Drosophila melanogaster: one gene and its partners. The gene in region 1 interacts genetically with each later gene. Each region holds a gene or a part of one and is shown in the gene's direction. Other genes may lie near its edges.

Region 1 (4,228 bases):
TAGAACCCCTGGACATTGCAACCCCTGGCGACTGTTGTTGATATCATGTCAAGCATTTTATTGATCAAGTTACGCATCCGTAATACGAATCGAAATATAATTGCTCTTTTCAAGTGTCTATCGTATATCAAATGAATTGCATTTGCATCTCCGCCCTTCTGCATTCGAGTCCGTTCGAGCAGAGAGCTGTTCCCACGTTCGAGGTCCTGGATCAGGATCACATGGCCTTAGGCGTTGGTGCGTAATCGCACCAGACTTACAGGATCTTGCTTAACATTATTAAGTACTCGCCCGATGCTGGGACCTCGCACAATGTCTTTCTTTTGAATTCGCTGATCCCGAAGACAGAAAAGCTTGATCTAGCAGCCTCCCGACCAGCGTGCCTTTTCCAGGCAGTACCACTCCCGCGATCTAAAATCCGTAATCTGCTTAAGCGGCGAGCTTAAGTCGAGGAATCGGTGGGTCCTTCGGGACTTGGCAGGACCAAGCGAGATTAGAGGCACTGTCCACTTGAATCCTAAAGGCTCTCAAAAGGCAACGCCTAATCTGGCTCAGCCGCGGGAGCTACTATCTCAAATGGCTAGCTCCCATTTTAGTAACATGAACCTTTGATTTTAACAACTCCGTTTTGGGTTTACTTTAAAATAATTTTATTTATTAAGCATTTATAAAAATTATTATTAAAAACGCAATCTGAGCTCCGCAATAATTTTCATAAAGTATTTTTAGATTGAACCTAAAAAGTTGCCAAAGCTGGCTAAGAAATGCAAATATTTGTTTTTTATTTTAATCAGTGCATATATTTTATATAGGAAATACGTTGTATTTGGTTAGCAGAAGTTATTCCAAAATTTAATTTTATGGGGGAATCGAAGAATTTGTTTAGATGCTCAACATTATAATGCACTTTCTTAATTAAAAAATGTTGAGTACATTTTTTAAAAATTACGATACAAAATTCATACTCAGATTTGTGTAAAATTGATAAGCTCAAGAAATCTGTACAATCTGATATCTATCAAAGTCTTTAGATTTATCATTTCCCTAAACATTTATATGGTTGCATCATAAAAACCTAATTACTGAATGGAAAACAATCAATAGTGCGTGGTATTCAACCCCTGCTGCTACTATCGCCACTCGAAAAGGACTCGCCTCGCAGGACTAGAAGCGAACCCACAGGTACTTCACACAAATCACAAAGCGGCAATAATGGCAGCGCCATAAAATACTCGGCCATGGATATGGAAGGATATCTCTTCATTAACAACTGTCGCAGGACGGGCAGAGATTCTCTGCTGCGAGAGAGGGTAGCAGACGGACGAGGAGTTCGCGTGAGAGAGCAGGTAGTGAATCCTGCGGAAAAGGGCCATAAAAACCGAAAGAATTGAGAATGAGAATGAGCGACGGCTGCTGCGTTCCTTGCTCAATGAATTTTTCGCAATGGCAGCCTGCCGCAGGATCGAAGGATTCTCCAGGGGAGAGTGAGAGAGGATATGCGAGAGAGGGCATTAGAAGCAACCCTCTCCCGAGTTTCGACCAATGAACGCGGAGTTTGTCTACCTAAGGGTGATCGACTGCTCGATGAATGGATTTGGTCTGCAGGACTATTAAAACGCCGGCGGTCCTCACAGCAGACAACACAACCCATCGTGATCTCAGCGAGTCCACATCGGAGTAACCAAGGATATATCGAATATATCACACAATCCGCAATACCGCCGTCCACCCAAACCGTTAAAACAAAAATCCAAAACGACTCAAAGATACACCAGTGCCAAGTGAAATTCAATTTGTGCAAGCGTTTCTACAAAAATCGCCAAAATTACGCCCCACATCGGTATGCAGTCGTCGGAGGGTTCACCAGACATGATGGATCAGAAATACAACAGCGTGCGTCTTTCGCCAGCGGCATCGAGTAAGTATAGCAAAAAAAAAAATCAGATAGCAATGAAAAAAGAAGAAAACAATCTTCCTAATATATAAAATTAAGACAATCCTTTACTTATACCAACTTTCCCCCCTTCTTGAATTTCCAGGTCGCATTCTATACCATGTGCCCTGCAAAGTCTGCAGAGATCACAGCTCCGGCAAGCATTACGGCATCTACGCCTGTGATGGCTGCGCCGGATTCTTCAAGAGGAGCATTCGGAGATCCCGGCAGTATGTGTGCAAGTCGCAGAAGCAGGGACTCTGTGTGGTGGACAAGACGCACAGGAACCAATGTAGGGCTTGCCGACTGAGGAAGTGCTTTGAGGTCGGAATGAACAAGGATGCAGTGCAGCACGAGCGGGGACCGCGGAACTCCACTCTGCGTCGCCACATGGCCATGTACAAGGATGCCATGATGGGCGCCGGCGAGATGCCACAAATACCCGCCGAAATTCTGATGAACACGGCTGCCTTGACCGGCTTTCCTGGAGTACCGATGCCCATGCCTGGCCTGCCCCAGAGGGCTGGTCATCATCCTGCTCACATGGCTGCCTTCCAGCCGCCACCATCGGCTGCCGCTGTCTTGGACTTATCCGTGCCACGAGTGCCCCATCACCCGGTGCACCAAGGACACCACGGTTTCTTCTCGCCCACCGCCGCCTACATGAATGCCCTGGCCACTCGGGCCCTGCCCCCCACTCCTCCGCTGATGGCAGCTGAGCACATCAAGGAAACCGCGGCGGAACACCTATTCAAGAACGTCAACTGGATCAAGAGCGTACGGGCCTTCACCGAACTGCCCATGCCGGATCAGCTGCTCCTGCTGGAGGAGTCCTGGAAGGAGTTCTTCATCCTGGCCATGGCCCAGTACCTAATGCCCATGAATTTCGCCCAGCTGCTGTTCGTCTACGAGTCCGAGAATGCCAACCGGGAGATCATGGGCATGGTGACCCGCGAGGTGCACGCCTTCCAGGAGGTGCTGAACCAACTGTGCCATCTGAACATTGACAGCACCGAGTACGAGTGTCTGAGGGCTATTTCGCTCTTCCGTAAGTCACCACCGTCGGCAAGTTCTACCGAGGATTTAGCCAACAGCTCAATCCTGACAGGAAGCGGCAGCCCGAACTCCTCGGCCTCTGCTGAATCCAGGGGTCTTCTGGAGTCGGGAAAAGTGGCGGCCATGCACAACGATGCCCGGAGTGCGCTGCACAACTACATCCAGAGGACCCATCCCTCGCAGCCCATGCGATTCCAGACGCTCTTGGGCGTGGTGCAGCTGATGCACAAGGTCTCAAGCTTCACCATCGAGGAGCTGTTCTTCCGAAAGACCATCGGCGACATCACCATTGTGCGCCTCATCTCCGACATGTACAGTCAGCGCAAGATCTGAAAAGTATGTAGAGCCTAGACTAATCGCCGCACTCGAAGTGCCTTCCAAGTGCTGGGAACTGTGATAATCTCGGAAGAAGCGCTTTGGACAATACTCGATCAGTGAAATCAACGATTTCTCATATCCAGGAGTCGAGCCTTAAAATACGTACACAACACTCACCTTAATACCTTACCTAAACAGAACTCGAAGTAATCTTAGCTAAAGTCTCTCAGACCATCCAGATGTGTTTCAAATTGCATTCGCAAAAGTTTCAACTTTGCCTGTTAAATACGTCAATCGTAGTTTTAAACACTTTAGTTTTAAGCGCATATTATTAGCTTTAGGATTTGGAAAAATAATTATTCAAAATAAACCTAAAGGTTTTCGAAATGAACATTAATGGGTCTTTTTGGGTGGATGCAATATTTTGGAAGAAATGGAACTGACAGTTTCAGAACTTGGATTTGGACTATCGGAAGTTTTAAACTTGAAAAAATATATTTCATTAATTAAATGAAAAAACGTAGTATTCACATTATTTGAAAGGTCTTTTGGTTTTCAAAAGCTATGCTTAGAAAAAATATATCTAAACTAAACAAGAAGTAGGTCCTAGTTATTTGCGCAACTTTTGTAAGCAGCTGAAAGTGTTATGCCAAACATGGAATCATGAGATTACACACGGAATTATCATTCTTTTTATGGCCATTTCGTGAGGCTTTTCGCATCCTTAGAGACGACAAAGCAACCGCACAGGGCAACCCAGTTAATCACAAATGAATTATGCAAATACTGGAACAAAGAAATATTAGATCGCAGAAGAAACCGTGGAAAATTAGCATAGTTTTTCTGCATGAACAGACCAAAGTCGGCATTAATTTGGGAACCTGAGGGACGCAGTGCAATGGCCGCCCCAGTTTTGATATC
Region 2 (4,892 bases), on another chromosome or scaffold:
TTACATTTCGGGTGTTCCCAGGATACAGAATTATTTAATGTGTTTTATAACAACACAGTTTTCATTAAACTAGTTTGCCGCAACTGGAATAAGAAATATTTGGTTTAATAACGATTGTGTGCCTTAATATACATTTTAGTCGGCAATGCACTCTACTTTAAAAAAATATCCTATTATCGTATCAAAATTGATTTTGTTTTTTAACTTTCCGATCTTGGTTTTTTCTAAATACTTTTTATTTGTGTAAATAGTTTGTATATATGTACTTACATCTGCATATACATAACGAACAGTTGAAAGGCACAGCCAAAATAAATAGTAATATATATTGAGGTTATAAACTTCGGCACTTGTGCTTAAATTTATTATTTTTGTATTGCTATACCTTTAATTAATTAAATATAATAATACCTTAATAAGTATATTGTCAACACTTAATTGAGTTTATGTCCATGTACATACATACATATATGTACAAATATTGCACATCGATGAAGACTGTATCAGAACAGTTTGATTAAACATTAACCGAGAGCTATAATATTTGATGTATTGCAATGATTTGTATTGTATACTTTACAAATAGGTAAAACCAGATATTTGTTTATCGTACAATTTCATTTGAATACACAATTTTCAAAGCGACCCGAACAAAGAGAAGAACAGTGTGACCGTGTTAAAACAGTTTTAACATGCCACCTGGCTCACATGTACTCACAATAGCGTTTGAAGCACGTTTTATAACCATAATCAACGGAGTACCATATAAAATGACTTCGGTGGTCCAGAATAAAGTTCTTTAGAACTTGTTTCGCAACTCAAACATAGGAACCACTTAGCATACAACAGCTCTAATATCAAAGTTTGTGACGAAAATTGAATAAATCAATACTTAGTCCACCGGACCGTTTTCGAGCGGAAATCGACTTTATATATAATTTGCAGGGCAATCGTTTGCCCATATAATGCGAGTCAAATCGTAAGAACACGTGTGGTATTGTAACATACATATATAATTCATGGGAATATTTATTCCTGTTTTCCCATTTTACTATTATGATTTTAAAAAGGTCGTATAACATTTTTTTAGTTTAGATCATTCATGCATGGCCCTAAGAAAGCGTTGTTATTCGCTTATAATGATCATTATGTCATTAGGGTTAATTTTTACGAATGGGCGAAAGAGCTGTTGTTTTAGGACAAATACTTTACTTAATATTTATCAAATCATTATTTGTTGTGAATATTTCTATCGATTTGCCAACAAATATGTATAAGTTAAATCAAGGCAAGTCTCTAATGTCCTAGTATCAATGTTTTGTGCTCATTGTTTATAGTGTTTTATGACTCGAATGCTATTTTGTCAAGCATGGCGGGCAGTAAAACAGTCAAATGCAATGCATATAGTCCAGAAACTAACTTTTGACTCAGATTAATTTTTTAAAGATTTAACTGTTTTCTGTTTTAATTTTTATATAAGTAACGAGTTGACTATGGAGTTCCACCACGTTTTTATTTGTCTTGACAGTTTCTATTGATCTGTAAAAAATATTCCATTTCTTTGAACTAAATAAACTAAGGTAGATATAATTTCCAAAACGTTTATCAAATAGTTATTAAGAAATTCATCTTAACCAAAATAAAAAGTATTTTAAGAATCCCTTCAACTACAAAATTTAGGCATAATTTAAATCTAATTGTGTTTCAGACAGTCCTGCTTTACTTAAATTATTGAAAATCAGAAACTTCTGCAAATCATCAACCAAATCGTCGAAAACAGTAGTTGTAACGGGAGTGCTAAGGTTACCACCATCGAAGTTATCGATAGTTCCATCGATTTTTTTTGCTTCTCCAACTTAACTATTCTTCAAACGGAAATCCATTTATTCATATGTGAAAATAGAGAACTGTATAAATAGAAGTAGATAATTTGTGAAATAAACCTGATGTCGCCTTGAAAATACATAAAAAACTTATATTTTTGTCAATAATTATACTATGAATTTCGTTTGTCATTCACATAGTAAATGAATTCAAAGTTTTGTTATCGTGTAACTCGAATTCATATAAATAGTGATAAAGTTTGTTCATAATTTAAAGCTATATTATAAGCACCATACATTACCGAACGACAAGCATAAATCTAATATTTAAGGTATTTGAAGCAATTAACCTTCCCAAAGAAATTGCTCTATTCTTCAACCCTTAAGGGTGGTGGTGAACAAATATATACATATTTCAGATGGTGGTGTGTTACAAATAAAAATAAAAGGTTTTTTTAACTTAGCGAAAATAAGAATTCGTTTGAAAACCCATCAACTATGGTTATTTTTGTTCTAAGTTATAAGGCATACATTCACCTTTTTTTTAAATTCCCCATCAAATAGCGTATTATAAATGTAAACAAACGATTTATAAGTATAATTTCAATAAGTAAAAGAAACAAGCTAAAGTTATCGTTGTTTTAATCAGTACAATAATAACAATGTAATAATGTAATAGTAATATCATACTCATGTTTCCACGCCCAATCTAACGCCCACAAAAATGGTTTGATATTTTTTCATATTTTTATTACTCTTGTAAATTTTTATCGATTTGCCAGATTAAGTATACAGATTCTAGACATAGAATTAGCGCTAGTTTATTGACCAATGTTGCCACGCCCACAAACCGCCGAGAGCTGCCAGTTAAAAAACTCAATGAAAACTGGTGATGTGCATTATAAAAAAAATAGTAAAAAAGGTAACTACATCGATAATGTGAATTAAACTGGGTAATTTGTGCAACATTATACACTACACATAATGCTATGAAAGTCATCAAATACCATGATTTCAAGTGACTGACGTACGTCAACAGGAACCATTGATGGATAATGCAAGTCAAATCGATAGAAATTTACAAGGCCAATAAAATGATGAAAAATTTCGAAAAATCGTTTAAAAGTGTGGGCGTAGCAGTTTTAGGGGGTTGCTGGCGTGGCAAAAATTTTGTTTTGCAAATCGATAGAAATTTACAAGACTATTAAAAATGTTACGAGGGTATACAAATTTCGTCTTTTAATATGATTTTGAATTCTTTTATTTTTAGGATTAAAAAACAAGTAATCGCGTTCCGCTTATTTTTTTACCATGATTGATCCTAGTTCAAGTGAGGAAGAAGGAGAAGATGACGCTGTTCCTAACGTTTCATCAAAAGGACGTCTTACAAATACGACCAAAGGAACAAGTGCCGTTTCTATAATTGGAGGATCTGCAGGATCCGTCGTAGGATCAAACATTCCTGTATCTGGCTCTAATACAGATTTGATCGGAAATCAAAGACAATCTAATATAAGTTCTATTTGTAACCGCAACGATGTTGGGAACATTAGTGTAGCAGCTTTAGGATCAACCTCTAACAAAATTGAGCAAATATGTGGCAACCGAGCTGATACCGGAAATCTTGAAGTTCCCAGTAATGGTATTCCGAGGTTGGTAATGTTCATACAACGCATTATTTTCAAACACATTGCAACAACAATTTCTGTACATTGTGTTCGTGTTTTAATTAATGCCCAATTTTTTTTTACTTTTTATTATTTTTTTATTTTAAAATACATTTTATTCTTATGGGAGGGTAAAGGGCACGAAATATTTAGTTATTTTGTTTGTCCAAGTGAGTGCAGAAACTTTCGAAGTCAAATGACCGTGTGCACGGTAGCCTGCAATATATAGTTAAAGTTTAAGATAAAGCCAATAAAATGATGATGAAAAATATGTTATTGAAGGAGTTAAGCAAAAATAAAAAACATGGAAGAGTATAATCGAGTTCCAAGATTATCAAATACCTGTACTCAGCTAGTGGAAGTGCGATCGAGAAATTTCAAAATTTTTCTCGCTCAAAATGTTCCTCTCTTTTTATTCTTTTCACTTTCTATCGATATGCAAAAATATTTTGTCCACGTTCAACGTACCTTTTTCCCATTTATTAAGTTTCTTCCCACTTTCTATCTTTACGCACACAAACCTCCCAATACTGTGAGGTCCTCTCTTGTAATACCCATTACTCTCAGAGTAAAAGAGTATACTAGGTTTGTTATAAAGTATTTAACAGGTAGAAGGAAACGTTTCTGACCTAACACAGTACATATATTCTTGATCAGGATCAATAGCCTAGTCGATCTGGTCATGTCCGTCTGTCTGTATGACATCCTAGATAGAGAAGTCAGATAAGACTTGCAGATTTCACAGACATTTTTATCGGTATACCAAAACCACATTGGCCAAGCTCCTTTAAACATGTACAAACCGACCAGAACAATCACGGCCACAATATTGAAAATTTTTAAAACTTTTTTTAATTTTATTCCTTTAGTTCTATCGATATGCCAGAGTAACGGGTATCTGATAGTTGAGGAAATCGACTTTAAAATTATTGTCGTAATTATTGTGTAATTATTATAAATATTATTATAAAATAGTGTAGTCGCATGGGAAGTCTTCTGGTGCGCTTCGTCACTACGAGGACTGCCGTTCATAGTGATACATCTTTACCTTATGCCTCTTGACTTTTATCCCTAATTATTTCTCTTGAATGGTTTAACGCAAAATATAACAGTATTATAAAATGAAGCAACAAATAATTTTTTTATTGTTCAGTGGAATTTCGCAAGAAACTTTAAATCAAAGTGTTGGATCGTCAAGGGCAAACTCATTGCCAAGGCCATTGTCACCGTCGCCATCTCTAACCAGCGAAAAACATGAAACTGCAGAGCCGCATGTAAGTAGAAACCGATATAACCAGGGTACATTTAAATTAAAAGTTAGAATTATTTCGCCGAAACTAGTATTATTTATAGACGATCGGGAATAGTTGAGTGGGGGACCCGGATTCGATCGGTGTTTACA
Region 3 (7,930 bases), on another chromosome or scaffold:
CACTACTTGCTCAACTAGCAGTTCTTCGAGTGCATCATTTGCTACCTGTTGGCCCATTTATCCGGAACCGAACGGAAGTAAACCGAAATGCATTAGTCAGACAGCAGGCACAGGGGCAGCACCAATTAGCTGGGTGCTGACAAATTGCACAGCTATTGGCATGGTCTGAAAGGGCAGACCCTTTAGAGGCTCTACAGGATCGATGTCTAATGGTTTGACGAACGTAGTCGAGCTGAAAGACGGCAGAACGGAAAACGCAACCGGAAATGAGCGCGACCAAATGTGAAAACGCGAGGCATAAATTATGGTCAGACGGCGCATACATTCATACGTGGCCAGAACGCAATTTGGGCGAAATGGCCTGCTAATAGTAAATTAATTTCAGACGCTTATCGCCGCCAACTGTGGCTATGGCCATATCCATAGGAAAATAATGCGTGGATGTGTCAGGCCAGCAAAGTGCTGTGTAAATTAGCTCGGCTAACTACATATTTACCCATCGAGAGCCTCAGGAATTTCGCAGTAATGCTGTTCAGATAAGCCAAGCGATTGTCTTAAACTTGAAAGGAAGTGGCACTGGAGGCAAACACGAGACTAGTCGTTGGCAAAAAAAAAAAAAAGAAAACAACACATTAAAAACCGAGCACGTTTCGCCATCGTCGGCCCACATGGCGTATGCTTAACTTCAGTCAAAGTTCAGACCACCTCATTGGGCCTTAATTAGTTTCGAATTTGTTAGCAAGCAGCTCCGACACGCGTTTCCGTCGTTTGAAACAAATGTTTTGCCAAGCTCTCTAAAAGGTCAGATCCACAAACAGTGATCACCTGCATCGCCGGCAATATCTGTAGACTAGACTATAGCCTATAGATATTCGTGTACCAGCAAGTGGAGACGCCATATCGGGCCTTTGGATGCCGCCATATCAATGCCTGAATGACGCAGCGTCAAAGTCGAAATAACATATAATTACACAGAGAAAACTGCATTAAAGTGTTATTCGTTTAATTAAAAAGTAAAGATTATTGTATAATGGGCCCCAATATATTAATTAATTAAACTATTTACCAATTCTTCTCTACTGATAAACTCTAAAATGTGTATAAAAAAAAACTATTGCAACGATGACCAAGCAATTTCATCCAACATCAATCCGCCAACAGGTAAACAAGGTACTTTAAAGTAAGTGATTGGAACTTTTACTGATACTTAGATCAATATCTTATACAATACGCTGCCAAACACACCAAGAGTAAATATTTTTCAATAAAAAACCATCAAATTGCTGTTCAAACAGCATCAATAAATTCTTTTCTCTGTAGTGCGCCGGGTAAAATGTAATAAATGATCAGCAAAACGACAAACACACACGGCTTGGAGAGGCCAGACAAGAGGACCACCATGATGGTGATGGTGATGGCAGCGGCTACAAATGGGCAAAGCATAAATACACAAAAAGATGCCAAAAAGCGGAGACGGAGAAAAAACAATTTCAATCATCATGATCATAATTAAAAGGCAGCCAGCCAGCGCACACACACATAGCGAATGGACCCAGAAGCAACATGTTGCTGCTCCTCCGCTGACTGTGCAACTTCGCACTTCAGAATTAAACGCAATTAGAGCGAGCTGGCACAATGTGAAGAGAGAGAGAGAGAGAGAGTGATAGTCAGCGCTTCGTGGGCGGAGCCATGGCATCTGGAAAATCGAGAGGATTTTTCAAAATGGAGGTGCCAAACCAGAGCGGGACGGCTAGCTCCCGCACTCCGTACACTGCCACAGCCAATCGATGGTGAGCAGCAGGTAATCTCGATCAATGGCTCAAGACGGAAACGAGTCAAGCTCGTTCCATTCAGCTCGATCGAGAGATCGCTCTGCCAGCGGAACTTGCTCAGTTGAAATGCGAACTTGGCGAGCTCAAGACACGACCGTCGCCCAAAGATACAAAAAATTCTCTCAATATATTTGTGGTAAAATAATAACCCACGTACGCGACACCGGGCCTAATCAAATTAACACCCACGCACATGAGAGACTTTTGTGTGCCGTGATTTGCATAATTGACGCTAATCGGCGGCGTCTCGTGCTCGGCTAAAAAGTAAACCCGGGCTCCAAAAAAATAGACACCGCCATATGTTGTGACAGTGCTTTTTGTGTGCTGGGGAACAATTGTGCAAGTGACAAACGCCAAACAAAGAAGTTTCGGGCAAAGATTTAGTACTATTTTTGGACCCAACACATCATGATCACCATGAACGAGCTGGTGGATCTGCGCATGCAGCAGCACATAGCACACGAGATCTATCGCCAGCAGATCATGCAGCGCATACCAGGTAAACTGCTTGCCCCCTTCATATCACTCATCCGCCCCGTTACGCGTGCGGCAAAGCTGTTAGCCATCATTAGCATTAATGGTCGTAACTTTTGGCAAACTGCTTTTGTTTCTGTTACTGTCTCAGCCCACCAAAGTTGGCCAAGATCAGCGGGGTGTGTGCGAGTAGCGGTGTTTATGGCCAGCGGATCATAAAGCTGAGTAATGTGGGAAAGTGATCGCCGATCGAGAAACTTGATATCAAATGCATTTTTCTTGTTGCCGACGGTCGTTAAATTTCGGGATCAGCGTACCCCTAAAACAAAATCGTTGTTTGCCAAAGTATCGCTCCTTATTTTGTGGATACCAGATGGAGGGCATTAAGTTTGGTAATCGGGAAAGAATCGGTGTTCCTCGTTCGCCAAATAAGCGTTTTTATATAACCCCATGTTTGTTCGTTTGTTTTTATGACAAATATGTCAGTCATCATATGGATTTATGCCGTAAGATCTCTTTGGATAAGTCAGAAATGTCACACTTTAATTCAGACCCACGCTCTTAAACTAATGGCGACTATTAAGTTATTTGAATGGGTTTCATTTTAGCCAAATACCATGTTAATATGTTTACATAATTTCAATAATTCTTAATTTTCTTTGTTGAAGACTAAGTAGTTTGTTAGATTGCTTGAGCTTTTGTTAACCTATAAGCCCCCTATTGATTATTGTTCTTTTCAGATCCGTTTCCGCCGATGCTGCCAATTCCGATGCCACGGCACGTGATCATGCCACCTCGAGTCACGTTGCCCGGCGTGGAGATGACCCTGCAGAACGACGATCTATGGAAGCAGTTCCATCAAATTGGCACGGAAATGATCATCACCAAGAGTGGCAGGTAGGTTTAGAACAGAGAGAAAAGATCTTTGATGATGAAAATGATGAAAAACCAAGAGTGGGGGAATCTCGAGATATACAGACTTTAGAGATCGGGAACAAACATAGATGTAGCGATGCATTAGCACGAACATGAAAACTAATACCCCAGACGCAGGGCAAAGAATAATAAACCAGCCAACGGGCGCGGGCACTTAAAGCACCCTATAACGATCCCTAGCCCGATCCCTGGCCCGATCCCGATTCCGATCCGATTCAGTAGAGTCCAGCGAGGATGTGCTGCTGTTAAAGGCTCATTAGATGCAGGCGCCTGCAAATTGTTTACAGCGGCGTCGCGACAACGATTTTCACAGGCAAACAAGGCGGAAGGATGCACTTACGTCGGCAGGATGTGAAAATCGAAAATTGAAAATTGAAAATCGGGAAATGGAAAAGCGGTTGCAGGTTCAGCCAAAATTGATGCGCACTGGACATCGGCTATCGCACGAGGCGTAAAGCGAACAAGTTCGCCGGCACTTTGCGTGCTCAGATCGTAGATAGTACGAATCAAAGGCATAGCGCGATCGCCCGGAGCTAATTTATCGTGTATCTATGAGTATCAGATCAGATGCACGACTACTTGCACAAAGGCGACTACCTAAAAGTGTCCGGCACTTGTTCGAATGTGCGTAAAGTGGCGTCATCGTAATTTATTGTAGACCGACCAACTGGACCGATCGGGCGAGCGCCGAGCTCAGTGGGACGTCCTGTCGGTTCGTCGGCGCTCCTTTATGCCTCGCCTGGCATAAATCTTCGCGTCAAGGATACTTTGTCGTCATCTTTGTAGCTCTTAGCGTTTTTATTGTGGCGCCTGTCTGCGCAGCGAACAACCTGCGGCCCCGAAATATCTTCGCGTTCTGCATTCTATAAGATGCTCGTACATATCTGTATCTTTTGGCAGTGACAGTGACCACAGCTTGTCGACAGATACGAGCAATTTCACACTTGCCCTCAGTTCGAGCCGATCAAAAAGGGTTCCCAAACGCATTAACATAAACTTTTGGTCTCGAAATGCATTGAATGAATACACTTCGAGCCACGAACAACCCTTTTGTTTTATATATGCCATGAATTATTCATATAGTCTGCGTATTAAATACTTTTTATGCTCATCAAAAATGTTTTATGGGCATCGGTGGAGAGGTCGCGATGCAATCGATTTGAATTTTTAATGATTAGGCGCCAGAGTGCCACCGTCTGTCCAATCGCATCCCAATCCCCGTTTCATTTCCCATACGGATACGATCCCAAGTCCAAAACCTATGCCTATGCCAAGTGGCGCTCATAAAAACTAATTAGTTGCTTGTCTGGGCTCCGCTTGCCACTTGAACCGTTCCATCTTTTTGGGTGGTAAAAGCGCAGACGGCCATTAAAGTTAGATAGAACAAACCGTATCGCTTAATGTCTGATACTGGCGGCAAATGAAATGACTTTGTCACGATGCTTTTAGACTGTGTGGGCTCCTCCACTCACCAAGAGAGGCGGTAAACAGAAGCGACACGGTAACTTCGATGAGAAGCGCAAATATACCCAGAATTTTCAATTGGATTCAAACTTTTAGTTGCAGAAAGAAAAAAAGAAAATATTTTACCCTTTCTCTAATAAGAAATGTTATTCCTAGTAGACTCATTCAAAACTGGCTTACGATCTGAAGAGTTCAAAATTTATGTCGTTTGCTTCCAGTTTTATAGCTGTCAATTAATAAATAGTCTCACTCTTAATTTCCTAAATATGCTAATTCTGGGAATATCAAGCAGCTATTTATATGGAATTGTAGGGTAAACATTGGAGTGAGCTCTGGATATTTCCAGAGTACCCTTCGGGAGTCCGAGATCCGATGCTCCGTCGCATTCCTGGCTTGTGTCCCTGCACCTGCGAAGCGTCAAGCGCCAAGTCGAATGCCGTCAAGTGGTCAGCATGCTCCTTACTCGCAGTAGAAAATTCCACTGGTAATTATGCGCAGACGCGCCAAAGATATCGATCTTAACAAATCGTTTGTCCAAATCCAGACAGCGGACTCTTGCCAAAAAAATAAAGAAAAAAAAAAACAATAAACAAAAACTGAGAGCAAGCAAATTGAAAATGAAATTCTAAACCGCACAAATGTCGAAATATTTCGGTGCCGTGCTCTAATGGAATTCAACGGAGCTGAAAAGGCAGACCCGAAGCCAGAATCAAATTAAATGTTAGCAAACCGAGGCTCTGTGGATTTCAATTAATTAATCATCGGTTGAGGGAAACACGAAATCATTGCCAAAAACAAGAAACCATTCGAGGATGAGGACGCTGTTGAGGATGAGGACGAAGGGCAAACATTTTTCGGCCAGGCGCCAAGTGCCGTGACCACCTGCTGTTCCTGCGGCAGCGACTTGGAGTTGAAGGCGAGGGTCAGGGCCTCGCATCCTTGTTAGCACAGGGAAAACGGCCCCTACTCCACCGGGCAATCTCTATTTGACCAGTCCTAATTACATGGCGCATGGAAGGGAAATCTCACAATTAAATATTTGTAACGCCCACGCTGGAACCGGGAATGGGCTCCTTTTGTCGTTCTAGCATGACTATATTTGAGTTTGTTCGGTAAACAAAGGCTCTAAGGTTTTCCAGGCGTTTTCCTGGACTTCCCCCGCTCATCTGACACAGAGGAAAATGTTGTAGGAAAGCAGTATACCAACGATTTGGTAATATTTATAAGGGAAATATCTGTAAGATAACTCTCATGTCTAATATGGTATATACAAAAGGTTATGCTAGGTTTTATAACAACTTTGAAATTAGCCATTTATCAAATAGTAAAATATACCATATAATTATGATATTAAAGTCTTATTTGTATTAATAATATAATGAAAAATGATTTTGTCTTATATAATAAGAGACTGATTAAACTAATAAGATGCTTTTCCTTTCCCCTAAAGACGCATGTTCCCCTCGATGCGACTAAGTGTTTCCGGCTTGGAGGACGAGAGCAACTATTGCGTGCTCCTCGAGATGGTACCCATTGGCGACTGCCGCTACAAGTTCTCCGGCTCCCAGTGGGTTCCAGCCGGAGGAGCCGAGCCGCAAAGTCCCCAGCGGATGTACCTGCATCCGGACAGTCCGGCCACCGGTGCCCATTGGCAGGCGCAGCCCATACTGTTCAATAAGGTCAAGTTGACCAATAACACGCTGGATAACAGCGGCCATGTAAGTGCGGCCAGGGCTTTGAAGTCGTCTCCAGTTACTAATCCAAGTCCAAACCCCTTTCGCCATCCCCATTCGCAGATTGTCCTGGCCAGCATGCACAAGTATCAGCCGCGTCTGCACGTCATACGCACCGCTGATCTGGCGCAGATTCCCTGGGCCCCACAACAGGCCTTTGTGTTCGCCGAGACGGAGTTCGTGGCCGTGACAGCCTACCAGGTAAGTGGTGTGCCATCCCCATCCCTACTCCGTTTACCCTCTCAATGGGCGCCATCATTTTGGTAATGAGTCTAGCTCAATGTCTAATTAGTACTCTCAAATAAAATATATATCTTTGCCACACGATGAGAATCCCTTCTAGTTCAAAATCACCTCATGGTATCCTATCTTTGATTAATTCACATGTTATTCACAGACTTATCCAAGGTTGTCTAAAATCGCACTATTAGGTATTTAACAAAAATGTTTCGTCCAAGAGTATTCGAGTCATGTGTCCTCGAAGTTAGCCTTCCTACTTGTGTGTGCATTTTTTTTTTTGCCAATTCATTGAGCAAAGAGACTGGAAACGATCACACTAATTGGTTAATTTTGGGCAAACGAGCGGCGATCGCTCACGCCGTGGGTAGCTTGGTCAACGTCTCGAATTAGCATGGAACGCCTCCGTGGATCGTGTAGTTGGTGGGCAGGGCAGGCAGAAAGTCAGCGGGTCGGATTGTTGTTTTAGGAAGTTGGATAGCCACATCCTTGTAAATTTGAGCGCCTCGCTGTGTTTTTGTCTAGGTCTAGGCCCATTGACAGCCGACGCCAGTCTGCCTCTAATTAGCAAGATCGCCGAGAGATCGGAGATTCGGTTTGAGAAAGATCCGAAAGATCACAATGTTGTCAAGTCATCTGGAGTGGAACTGAGCACCGAGAACTGGAAACGCAGTCTGGTGTCAAGTGGCCATGTTACTTAACGCCAGCTACTGGACGCCAGTGACTTATGTGATGAGTCTTCTTCTCCTTCTCCATCTCCATCTCCCCGTTGCCCAAGATTATGCTGGCGGCAATCGTCATATTTCACGCTCGTCTTGTTGCCTTCTTCCGCAGAACGATCGCATCACCAAGCTGAAGATCGACAACAATCCGTTTGCCAAGGGCTTCCGCGAAACGGGACAATCGCGCTGCAAACGCAAGATGTCTTCATCGCCAACGGGCGAGGATCAAGATCAGTCGCCGTCACTATCCCATTCTCAGTCCCAATCCGAGTCTGACATGTCGCCAACGAAAGGAGGCGGTGAGACAGCCGGAGGAACATCGTCGATCGGCGATTCGGATGGTCCGCAAATCAAGCGCCTGAGATCAAATGGCTCAGCCTGCTCCTTATCATCATCGCTGGACGATCAGTCGGTGCCTGGCGCCAGTTCTTTGGCCCTGGGCTCTCCACCGCCCCATCTACATTCGCATTCGCATCCGCATCCCCTCCAGGCGAGGAGTGCCTCCAGCGTTTTTATGCAGCACTTTCAGCAG

What was found. Genes that interact genetically often act in the same process or in processes that back each other up.
Region 2: of tll (region 1) and Cadps, changing one suppresses a phenotype caused by changing the other (phenotypic suppression), as found in Drosophila melanogaster (one study listed by BioGRID).
Region 3: of tll (region 1) and Doc2, changing one enhances a phenotype caused by changing the other (phenotypic enhancement), as found in Drosophila melanogaster (one study listed by BioGRID).

The regions. Positions count from the first base shown.
Region 1 is NT_033777.3:30,850,705-30,854,932, forward strand, and holds tll (tailless), read left to right. Parts: upstream 1-1,610; 5' UTR 1,611-1,842; coding exon 1,843-1,918; intron 1,919-2,039; coding exon 2,040-3,322; 3' UTR 3,323-3,696; downstream 3,697-4,228.
Region 2 is NC_004353.4:1,230,036-1,234,927, forward strand, and holds the start of Cadps (Calcium-dependent secretion activator), read left to right. Parts: upstream 1-1,847; 5' UTR 1,848-2,155; intron 2,156-3,093; 5' UTR 3,094-3,134; coding exon 3,135-3,475; intron 3,476-4,643; coding exon 4,644-4,764; intron 4,765-4,892. UniProt on the Drosophila melanogaster protein: Calcium-binding protein involved in exocytosis of vesicles filled with neurotransmitters and neuropeptides. May specifically mediate the Ca(2+)-dependent exocytosis of large dense-core vesicles (DCVs) and other dense-core vesicles.
Region 3 is NT_037436.4:9,013,202-9,021,131, reverse strand, and holds the start of Doc2 (Dorsocross2), read left to right. Parts: upstream 1-1,885; 5' UTR 1,886-2,240; coding exon 2,241-2,331; intron 2,332-3,046; coding exon 3,047-3,203; intron 3,204-6,156; coding exon 6,157-6,424; intron 6,425-6,502; coding exon 6,503-6,640; intron 6,641-7,510; coding exon 7,511-7,930.